Mus musculus: one gene and its partners. The protein of the gene in region 2 interacts with the protein of the main gene of each other region in a pairwise test. Links are inferred from orthologs where the notes say so. Each region holds a gene or a part of one and is shown on either strand. Other genes may lie near its edges. The genes, in order: Ccdc57, Sirpa and Nol3.

Region 1 (3,653 bases), on a different chromosome or scaffold from region 2:
CTTTTGATTGGTGCATGAGAAAGAATACATTGGGAGATCTGGACACCTCTCACAGCATTCAACCAAGCCCTACACATAGATCAGCCCAAGGATCCACTCCTCCTGGGAGAGCACTCAGTGAACCTCTCACCATGTAGATTTCAAACCAGTTGGCAAGGAGTGCCCCAAAGAACCAACCCCAGCGATGTTCTACCTGTCTCTGCAGAGCAAGTTCACCATCGAGTTCCTTCAGTTTTCGCTCCAGTTCCCACTCCAGGCGCTCATTCTGTTCCCGCTGGTGGGCCAGTTCGCTGTTCTTGTCACTGTGGTAAGCAGACAGGGTGTTGAGAGAGCCATCTACTGAATGCTCACTGCCTGTACACACAGCGGGAGCACCTCACCCATGGAGCTGGGACATGGCATTTGCAGGGGTGCATGCATCGGGCCTCTAAGAAGTAGGACTTCTGCCTGACCTGAACCTGCCTGCCACCCCTAAACAAAGCTGCCAACAGCACAGGAGAAAACAGAACATAGAATTGTGTTGACAAACAAGAATCAAGAGAAAGAAGCCGGGTGTGGTGGCGCACGCCTTTAATCCCAGCACTTGGGAAGCAGAGGCAGGTAGATTTCTGAGTTCGGGGCCAGCCTGGTCTACAGAGTAAGTTCCAGGACAGCCAGAGCTACACGGAGAAACCCTGTCTCAAAAAACCAGAAAAAAAAAAAAAAAGAATCAAGAGAAGGGCCAGGCATGGTGGTACACACCTTTAATCCCAGCACTTAGGAGGCAAACAGGCTGATCTCTGTGTTCAAAGCCAACCTACTGTACATAGTGAATTCCAGGCCAGTCAGGACTATATAATTATGAAATGGAGGGGTTAATAACTGAAAGATGCCAATATTTAGAAAACCCAAGGGAAACACAGGGAATCTCAGCAAAGAAGAGATACAACAACAAATCAAATAAAAACTTGATAACTAAAGTACAAATAGTACCACGTCACTACCCCTTTAATCAGAATCCCAGCACTTGGGAGCCAGAGGCAGAGTGGCAAAGAGGCAGAGAGGTAGAGAGGCAGAGAAGCAGAGGCAGGCAGATCTCTGTGAGTTCAAGGCCAGCCAGGTCTACGTAGTGAGACTCTATCTCAAAACAACAACAATAAAAAAGATTTAAAAACTACAATAACCTAAATAAAAGTCTCACATCCTGAGTATGATGTCATACTGAATATGGCAAAGGAGGGAATTGGTGAACTTGATACAGACATTAGATATCACATGACTGAATGGAGAAAAAATGAACTAAAAATAAAAGATAAAGGAATGGGGCCGGGCATTGGTGGCGCACACCTTCAGCCCCAGCAGATTTCTAAGTCTGAGGCCAGTCTGGTCTACAGAGTGAATTCCAGGACAGCCTGGGCTACACAGAAAAACTCTGTTTCAAACAAACAAATGGAGCCCTGAGGATTTGGGGTAGTTACAAGTGGCGACTGACAAAGCGTCCGAGTGACCGGAAGGTCTCAGATTTGGAGAAAAAGGAAAGAGTCACAAAATCACATAAAGCAGCTTCAGCTTCCAAGTGCGAGCTACATGAGTCTGTGCTGAGGATGCTCCAGACGGTGGCTGAGCAGCACTTCCCGACTGGGTCACAGGTGCTGCAGAACATTTACTAAAGACCTCCACGACTGGGTGTGGTGGCGCACGCCTTTAATCCCAGCACTCAGGAGGCAGAGGCAGGCTGATTTCTGAGTTTGAGGCCCAGCCTGGTCTACAGAGTGAGTTCCAGGACAGCCAGGACTATACAGAGAAACCCTGTCTCGAAAAAAAACAAAAAACAAAAACCAAAAACCAAAAAAAAAAAAAAAGACCTCCATGTCTGACACAACATCTCTGTATGTTAGGTGAAACTCACGGAATGATTGCTAAAACTTAGCAGACCAGTAGCTTCCATCAAACTCCAAAGGTAAGAATGCCAGCAGATAACATCTGTCATGCTGGGATAGTGGTGCCTTTAGTCCCAGCATTTCAGGAGGAAGAAACAGGTGTATCTCTGAATTTGTGGTCAGCCTGGTCTACAAAGTAAGTTCCAGGGCAGCCAGTGAGATCTTATGTAAAAAACAAAACAGCAAAAACAAAAAATCTTGGACTGAGACCTACGGAAAAACTCATCAGTACCACTGAGCATCCAGTGGCGCTGAGCAGCCACCGACGCATGCACATCACTCACTGGGCACCAGACACAATGACCTGTAAGGGTAACGCACCTGTGGACGCGCTCCAACTCCAAGCGATGCTCCTGCAGCATTAGCTGATGCTGATGCTGCAGCTCCCCCACTCGCCTGGCCTCCCTGGTGAGGTCTTGTTTCAGCTTGGCCACCTCTATCTTGAGCTCACTGGCCTCTGCTTGTTGGGCCTCCTCCCGCTGGCGGGCCTGGGTGAACTCAACATCATAGCGCTCCAGCTCCCGGTCCCGCTCTTCCAGCACCTGAAGGTTGTAAACAAAGTCCTCCTGTAGGCGTTGCAGCTTCCCCTGTGTCTCCTCCAGGCGGTTCTGAGCAGCCTGTAGAGCTGCCTCCTGCAGCTGCGCACGGTGGGCCTGGAGGACTCGCCATTCCTCCTCCTTTCGAGCCAAAAGCTCATTCAGTTCCCGCTCTGAACATAGCGGCAGCATGGTGATGGCTGCAGCAAAGAAGGACACAAGTAGCATACCATTAGAGACTTTGACTTGTGAGCATGCGTGTGCATGTGTGTATGCACATGAGTGTGTATGTATATATATATATGTATGTGTATGTATATATGTGTATATGTGTATGTGTGTGTGTTTGTGTGCATGTGTACATGTATGTGTGTATGTATGTGTGTGTGTATGTATGTGTATGTGTGTATGTGTGTATGTATGTATGTGTGTATGTGTGTGTGTTTGTGTGCATGTGTACGTGTATGTATGTGTGTATGTGTGTGTGTGTGTGTGTGTGTGTGTGTGTATTTTTGTTTTTTGAGGCAGGGCTTCTCTGTCTAGCTTGGCTGTCCTGGAATTCACTCTTGAACTAACAGAGATCTACCTGACTCTGCCTCCCACATGCTGGGATTAAAGGCAAGAACCACCACTGTTCAGTTATACAAATAAATTTTAAAAACAAGATACACTATACAAGTGCAGAGGTTCTTGAGATGGAGTCTTACTAAGTTGCCCAGGATATCCTTGAACTCAGTCCTCTATTTTAGCCTCCTGAATAGCTACAGTAATAGATATGTACCACTATGTCTGGCTAAAGTCTTAATTTTTAAAAAATTAGATCCAACATTATAAAACTACTTTGCCAAATAGAAAATAAGTCTTTAAAAGCAACTTGGAGGAGTGAAGAGTGGGCCTCCAGGAACTGCAGTGGCCGCAAGCACACTGGAAGAGACTGTTTCTTATCAAGGCACACTACAGACTGTTACTGGTTCTAGGGAAGCCTGGCTGCCAGTCCTCACCATAAAAGGGGCTCTTTTCTGTACACAGAGCCATTTCACTTGGGGCTCCTGGCTTTATTTATAGAGTGAGCCCATGGCTGCTCACAAGGAAGGACATAAGGTTAATAATGCTGAGCACCATCACCGAGGCACAGGAGCCAAGTGTGCGCAGGGGAGGCACCAGAGCTCCTCTCTGACTGTCTTCCAACAGCCTCTGC
Region 2 (3,653 bases):
GAGGAAAAAGCAGGAGGCAGGAGGCAAGCAAAGACAGACTCCGTCTCCCTTTCCTCCTCTCTGATACACTGTGTCATCAGACCTATCCAGACAGGAGCCAAACTCTTACCAGTGCTGAATCTAGGAGCACAAATGCTGGAGAAGCAGTTCCCATTTTAAAACTGTGTTTATGCTTATAAACTTCTAGACTTCTCTATAATAAGCATGATATAATAACTTTAACATTGAAAAACAGATAAAATCATGATAAAGATTCAAAAAAAAAAAAAAAAAGGAAAAAGAAAAAAAGACCAATCAGCGGGAGTGGAGGCCTCACCAGGGAAGGTTTGCATGCTCCCTTGATCACTCGAGTGGGCAAATCCCAGCACGGTATGGTTTCGGGTGATCGCTGGCTGTTGGTCGTGCTTCACCTGGCACGTGAACACCACGTCCTCTCTATGAGCAGATGAGTTCACCAGGAACAAGCTTGTGTAATTATAGGTCCCATCCGTGTTCTTTGTGAGATTCTTGGGCGTGTCATTCCGTGATACGTTTCCATTCTCCAGCCAGATCAGCTGGAGATCCTCGGGGTAGAACCTCTCAGCCCGGCAGGTGAGGTTCACCTGGTTCATTGACGTCGGGGACTGTTGGGTGACCTTCACGGTGGGTGAAACTGAAACAGTACAGGCAAAAGCTCTAACCTTAAGCTGCACTGTGATCCCAGGGAGGGGCTGCAGAGCTGAGCCTCTCCCACCATCACAGCAAACAAACAAGACTACTAGGCATGCATTGCGTACTCAGGCAGTGTGGGTCTCATACAAATGGAATCACTAAGCACAGCACCCAGAACACAAACGGTGCCTTGTCTGGGAACTGGTAGCATTAAGCACAGTACCCAGAATACAAACGGTGCCTTGTCTGGGAACTGGTAGCTACTGGTATGGTGATAATGAATGATGTCAATGCATGCAGTACCTAAAACAAAATAAATGAAAACTACCAGGCAAAGGGGGCGTGGCTCACACTGGGTACCCAGGAATTATAGTTGCCATTGAAATGCAACTACCAGCATGGTGCTAGTCATAGGGTAATGGCTGCTGTGAACTTGGGCTAGAAGTCAAGGACATCTACCTCGGATGAAGTTAGACAGGTTAGCAATCCCACGAAGAGGGCTTCTATCCAAGGTGATGTGGGCTACCTCGCAGATGACCTTAGAATTAACATCCATGGAGTTTAGTACCACCCTGACTGTGCTGGAGATGTTGTAGGAGACATTCTTTCCACTAGGGTTCACGGTGGTCTCCAAGGGGTGGAGTTCTTGCCCATCTTTGAACCACTTCAGGGTGATATTCCGGGGAGAGAAGCCATGAGACTTGCAGGTGAAGTTCACTTTCTGGTCAGGTATGCCCCTGTCTGCTGGGCCGGATACCTCCGGTGGAGAAGGTTTGGCTAAAGGAGCATTTATAGACAAGAAATATGATTGTGATGGCCAAGCAAATGAACTGGTGGTGTAAGTCGTCTGCCTAGATACTGTCATCACACTGGAACATGGGGGATTGGCCCCAGGGCTTTATGCACACTCAGTGCATATTCTACTACTAAACCGTATGGCGTCTCTAGACTGGTGACACTATTCATTAATCTCCCTCCTGATGAAGCTGGAATGACCATGTCCTTAGCCTTCTATCTGGGGAGGATGCAGAGGTTTCATGAAATGGAGGGGTCAGTCAGGCAGTAAGGCAAGGCCAGGAACTCCAGGCCCGAGGTCTAAATCTTCTCTGCTTCAGGGATTTCCAAGATTGCTGACCTATCTCATTCTTTAACTACTTTTAACTGCATTCCTGGAAACTCTGCCAACTTAGAGAAAAGTGTTTGCAGAAGTAAACACAGGAAACAAATAACACTGTAGGATCCCAGTGGCTGCTCTGAGATGTTTACACTGCCCAGAGCCACGCATATGAAATGGGAGGCAAGGTTTCTGCTCTCTGGACGCGGTGAGGAAGAGATGAGGCCCTGGAGGCTTCCTGCTTCAGATGACTGACAGACACACAGAGATGCTCCTCAACAAGACACACAGATCTGACCTTGACCTGGATATTTATTTAAAAAAATTTTTAATGTGTCTGTGTATATGAGTGAGTTCCTTAAGAGAGCAGAGAGGACACTGGATCCCCTGGAGCTGTGGTCGCAGGCGGTTGTGAGTCACCCAGCCGCGTGGGTGCTGGGAATTGAACTAAGATCCTTGGTAAGCGCAGTACAAGCTCCTCAATCAGTGAGCCTCTCTCCAGCCCTACACTTTATTCTTACATCCTCCCTGTAAGAACTTGGGAATTCACTACGTGGGTTTTCCTCTTCTCTCTCTACAACCTAGTAGGCTTTTCCCAGGCCAAGTCCCATATTTGAAAGAGAGAGGCTAAAGGGAATTTTTGCTTTCAATCTGGAGAGCTTTTGTTTATAGAGTTGGAAACAAAGATCACTTCTATGTTAAGAAAGCCAAAGGTGGCTCTTGATTTCTAATTAGTAAAGAGACAGCAGCGAGCAGCCCCACCAAGCAAGCAGACACGCTTCTTCTGGTCCTGAATGGACTCATGGGTGACTAGGAGGGAGGCAGTGTCCCTTGGGGATTAATCCAAACTGCTCATAAGCAACCAGCATCACTTCCAGACAGCAAACACAACACGTTTCCATCTGCCAACACATACTTGCTCCCTAATATCCGCCTAATATGTCGAGGGCACAGAAAGGAGGTGTCACTTGAAGAAGTCAAGTCATCAGGACACCAGCAGCAGTGAAGAGCCATCCGTCAGGCCCTGGGGACTCCCTGTGCTTAAATCTAACCCAACTGCAAATGTAAAATATTGTTGAAAAAGCTGCATCTGTACTGAATAGTAACAGACTTTTTCTTGTCACTATTCCCTAAACAACACATAGAACAACTATTTACATAGCATTTGCATCGTATTAAGTATTATAAGAAACCCAGAGATGATTTAAAATAGATGGCAGGATGTGTGTAGGTTACACGCAAATCTCCCCCATCCTGGATGAGGGCCTTAAGCATCTTTGGATTTGGGTATCCTACAGATACCAGGAAAAAGCTGAAGTCACCATCTATTGAGTTCTTAGAGCCTGGCACTGGCTGCTCTCTCTGTGCCCATGATGGGGTAGTTAGGGTGAACTCCTTCTGTAGGACAAGGCTCAGAGGAGAGTGGGACTAGCCAAAAGCATAGTGGGTGGGTTTCAACTCTTCCACTGAGATAACTAATTTAGTACTTAAAAAATATTTATCTTCTGGGGCCTGGAGAGATGGCCCAGTGGTTAAGAACACTGACCATTTGTCTTAGTCAGGGTTTCTATTCCTGCACAAACCTCAGGACCAAGAAACAAGTTGGGGAAGAAAGGGTTTATTCGGCTTACATTTCCATACTGCTGTTGATCACCAAAGGATGCAGGACTGGAACTCAAGCAGGTCAGAAAGCAGGAGCTGATGCAGAGGCCATGGAGGGATGTTCTTTACTGGCTTGCTCAGCCTGCTCTCTTATAGAACCCAAGACAACCAGCCCAGAGATGGTCCCACCCACAAGGGGCCTTTCCTCTTGATCACTAATTGAGAAAATGCCTTACAGTTGGATCTCATGGAGGCATTTCCTCAACTGAAGCTCCTTTCTCTGTGA
Region 3 (3,146 bases), on a different chromosome or scaffold from region 2:
AACTGTTGGACTCCCTGAATGGGGAAATGAGAACCTAGTCGGCCTTTCTTGGACCTGATTGTGGTGACTATGCAGAGGGGAGGACAGACAGCTGACATTCAACAGTCTCCTGTTGGATGTGGGAGATAACCCGAGAGAGAGACCCAGGTATCAGTTGGATACCATTTAGAGGTGAGGAGATAAGGTGGGCTGGAGAGGAATGGGTTGTACAACGTAGATAAAAGATAGAGAGAGAAAGATAGAAGATCCAGGGCAGAGCCTGAAGGTATCTATTGTAGGAGTCGATGAAGAATATACACAATCATCTCAGGAGCAAATGGCCCTGAGCCATGGGTAGATCCTGGACTTGAAAGCCAGGCACTTTGATTAGCTCTGAGGCTCAGTTTGCTTCCTATAGGTCTCCTATGAAGACGTGGAACAACTGCGGCCCTACGGGGTGCTAGACAATACCAGAGTGCCCCACTTCATGAAGGACTTGGAACGTTACCGGCAGCAGCTGGAACACATCATGACCACCAACCGGCTGGATGAAGCGGAGCTGGGCCGCCTGCTGCCTGACTGATGTTGACTAAGGGTTATAGACAGACGCTCTTGACAGAGGTCACAGATCGGAATATGAAGTTCTTTATGGTTCCATAGCCTAGGTGTTTCTTGGGGGCATTTGGGAGGCCAGGAGCATCGTGGGCAGATGAGAAGCAACGTTAGAAGGTTTTTGTCCTTGCTACCCTTCCTGGGGCCTGTGAACTGCAGCAGCATGTCACATAAACTCCTGAGCAGGGGAGATGGGAGGGCGATGAGATGGGAGCTGAGTGTGAATAGAAATGTGGGTTGGTTTGGGAATAGAAACTTGTTCCTGCATGAGATGGCTTTGGGTGTCTGGTACCACTCCTTCCCTTCCCCCTACCTGGCCGATTGGTGCTCCTTCTACACTCATACCTCTACCTCTCACTGGGGCCAGCAGGAGTTGGGAACCCCTCTGAGGTGATTTGCCTGAGCATGGGGTTCCGGCTGTCACTCAGGCTCAGAGACCCAGCTGGGCTGGGCTTTGCCTTTCAGCATTCTGTCTGTCTCACTGGTCATGCATTGTTCCATAGTCGCCCTCATGGGGTCATTTCATGCCTCCAGGCGGGGCCCGGAAGTAGTAGTAGTAGTAGTAGTAGTAGTAGTAGTAGTAGTAGTAGTAGTTCCATGTAGGGGCAGGATCCTTTGGAAAAGTACCGTATGTTCCTAGACCCCTTCCTTCCTTCCTTCCTTCCTTCCTTCTTTCCTTCCTTCCTTCCTTCCTTCCTTCCTTCCTTCCTTCCTTCCCTCTCCCTCTCTCCCTCTTCCTTCCTTCCTTCCTCCCTCTCTCCCTCTTCCTTCCTTCCTTCCTTCCTTCCTTCCTTCCTTCCTTCCTCCCTCCCTCCCTCTCCCTCTCTCTCTCTCTCTTCCTTCCTTCCTTCCTTCCTTCCTTCCTTCCTTCCTTCTTTTCTTTCAAAGACTTATTTATTTTATGTATACGAGTACACTGTAGCTGTCTTCAGACACACTAGAAGAGGGCATCAGATTCCATTACAGATGGTTGTGAGCCGCCATGTGGTTGCTGGGAGTAGAACTCAGGACCTCTGGGAAAGCAGTCAGTGCTCTTAACCACTGAGCCATCTCTCCAGCCCCCTAGACCCCCTTTCTTATCACTCACACAGACACACTGTGTCTTGTGTCTTGTGAGTCCAGCACCTGGTCCCACCCTCAGTCCCCATGTTAGTCTTGGTTGTGCCTGTCTTTAACCACAGCCTCACAGCTGGTCTCTGGCAGTGGTTAGGACAGGCGGGAGCAACCACAATCAAACCTACAGGGCAGGCCCTAGGGTTTGTTATCCCACGTTCAGGCCAGGATTAGTACAGAGCTGGTTAAGGCTTTCATTTCACTTCAGATTCAGCGGTGGGAGAGTGAGCTAGTACTGTCCTAACCCTGGCTTTTCAGTTAATGTTTCCATCTGTGAAGCTTGGAAACACAGCTGGGAAGTTTGTATTCATTTACTTAGTAGATATGTGCAGAGCTCCTTGTGTATGTCTGTGACTGGTTAGACCCCACGCCCCTCACTGAGCTCCCAGTTCAGAGGAAAGCCAGACAATTAAACAGCAGTTACAATGATGTGTGTGGCTTCTGTCTACTCAAGTTTCCTCTCAGGTCCTCCCTGCAAGACTGTGAGCGCCAAGACTTCTCTCCATGTGTGGATGGACATCCCCCTTCACTTGCTTGGTACACCAAGCCGAGTGATTTCCATGGATTAGAAGTGTTGCCCACTCGGCCTCCCAAATGGCCCCTGAGGGGAATAAAGTGGGTGAGGGAGGGTCAGATTTGGGGGCCTGCATCTGAGATCTCCAGAATTACAGCTTGGGCTCTTTGGGAAGTGGAATGTTTTTGAGGGGATGGGGGTATTTTCACACAAGCCTGCTCAGGTCAGTGGGATTCAGACCCACGCTCACCCTCAGTTCTTGAGCAAAGAGCCAGACTTGTGGAGAGTCAGGAACAGACTGACCCTCCTGAGTTTATTCATTTGGCAGTAGGTGTCTCGGTGCATCGATGGGGTCAAGCTCTGGCAGGTTTCCAGGTCTTATCCAGCACAAATAGGATTGGACAGCTAAGGATTCTGGCCTTCAGGAATCTGGAGATGAAAATGATGGTTAGTGGAATAGGGATCAACCCCCCCCCCCCACACACACACACTTTGCAGTCCACAACCCGTAACAAGCCTGCAAGCAAGGGTTTAGGCGCTCTCACAACCTTCAGATTCATCCTCTTCTTGGAAGTCGGGCTCGGGTTCGGGTTCCGGCTCGGGCTCGGGTTCTGGCTCGGGCTCGGGTTCCGGCTCGGGCTCGGGTTCGGGTTCTGGCTCGGGCTCCGGCTCCGGCTCTTGTTCTGGATTCATTTCTTGTTCCAGGTCTGGCTCATCCCCTTCAGTAGCTTCAGCTTCTAGTTCTGGCTCCTCTGGAGTTCGAGGCTGCAGTGCCTCAGAGCCCTCAGGACCTCCGACCTCCTCTTGCTCTGACGCTCTTGGCAGCTCAGGACATGTGGTCCCTGAACTGGGTGCTTCTGGCGTCCAGTGGCCTGGGCATGAAGGGTCATAGCTGCGGTTCCGGTAGCCTGGGAAGGAAGAGGGAGTA

What was found.
Region 1: the proteins of Sirpa (region 2) and Ccdc57 interact in a two-hybrid assay, tested with the Homo sapiens proteins (2 studies listed by BioGRID). The two-hybrid records come from large-scale screens. The link is inferred for Mus musculus from reciprocal best matches to the Homo sapiens genes SIRPA and CCDC57.
Region 3: the proteins of Sirpa (region 2) and Nol3 interact in a two-hybrid assay, tested with the Homo sapiens proteins (2 studies listed by BioGRID and IntAct). The two-hybrid records come from large-scale screens. The link is inferred for Mus musculus from reciprocal best matches to the Homo sapiens genes SIRPA and NOL3.

The regions. Positions count from the first base shown.
Region 1 is NC_000077.6:120,919,280-120,922,932, forward strand, and holds part of Ccdc57 (coiled-coil domain-containing protein 57), read right to left. Parts: intron 2,656-3,653; 5' UTR 2,648-2,655; coding exon 2,241-2,647; intron 303-2,240; coding exon 194-302; intron 1-193. UniProt on the Homo sapiens protein: Pleiotropic regulator of centriole duplication, mitosis, and ciliogenesis. Critical interface between centrosome and microtubule-mediated cellular processes. Centriole duplication protein required for recruitment of CEP63, CEP152, and PLK4 to the centrosome.
Region 2 is NC_000068.7:129,613,222-129,616,874, reverse strand, and holds part of Sirpa (tyrosine-protein phosphatase non-receptor type substrate 1 isoform 1 precursor), read right to left. Parts: intron 1,429-3,653; coding exon 1,111-1,428; intron 653-1,110; coding exon 317-652; intron 1-316. UniProt on the Homo sapiens protein: Immunoglobulin-like cell surface receptor for CD47. Acts as docking protein and induces translocation of PTPN6, PTPN11 and other binding partners from the cytosol to the plasma membrane.
Region 3 is NC_000074.6:105,279,396-105,282,541, reverse strand, and holds the end of Nol3 (nucleolar protein 3), read right to left. Parts: intron 3,127-3,146; coding exon 2,767-3,126; intron 2,648-2,766; coding exon 2,640-2,647; 3' UTR 603-2,639; downstream 1-602. Other genes in the region: 4931428F04Rik (uncharacterized protein KIAA0895-like), read left to right, coding at 398-562.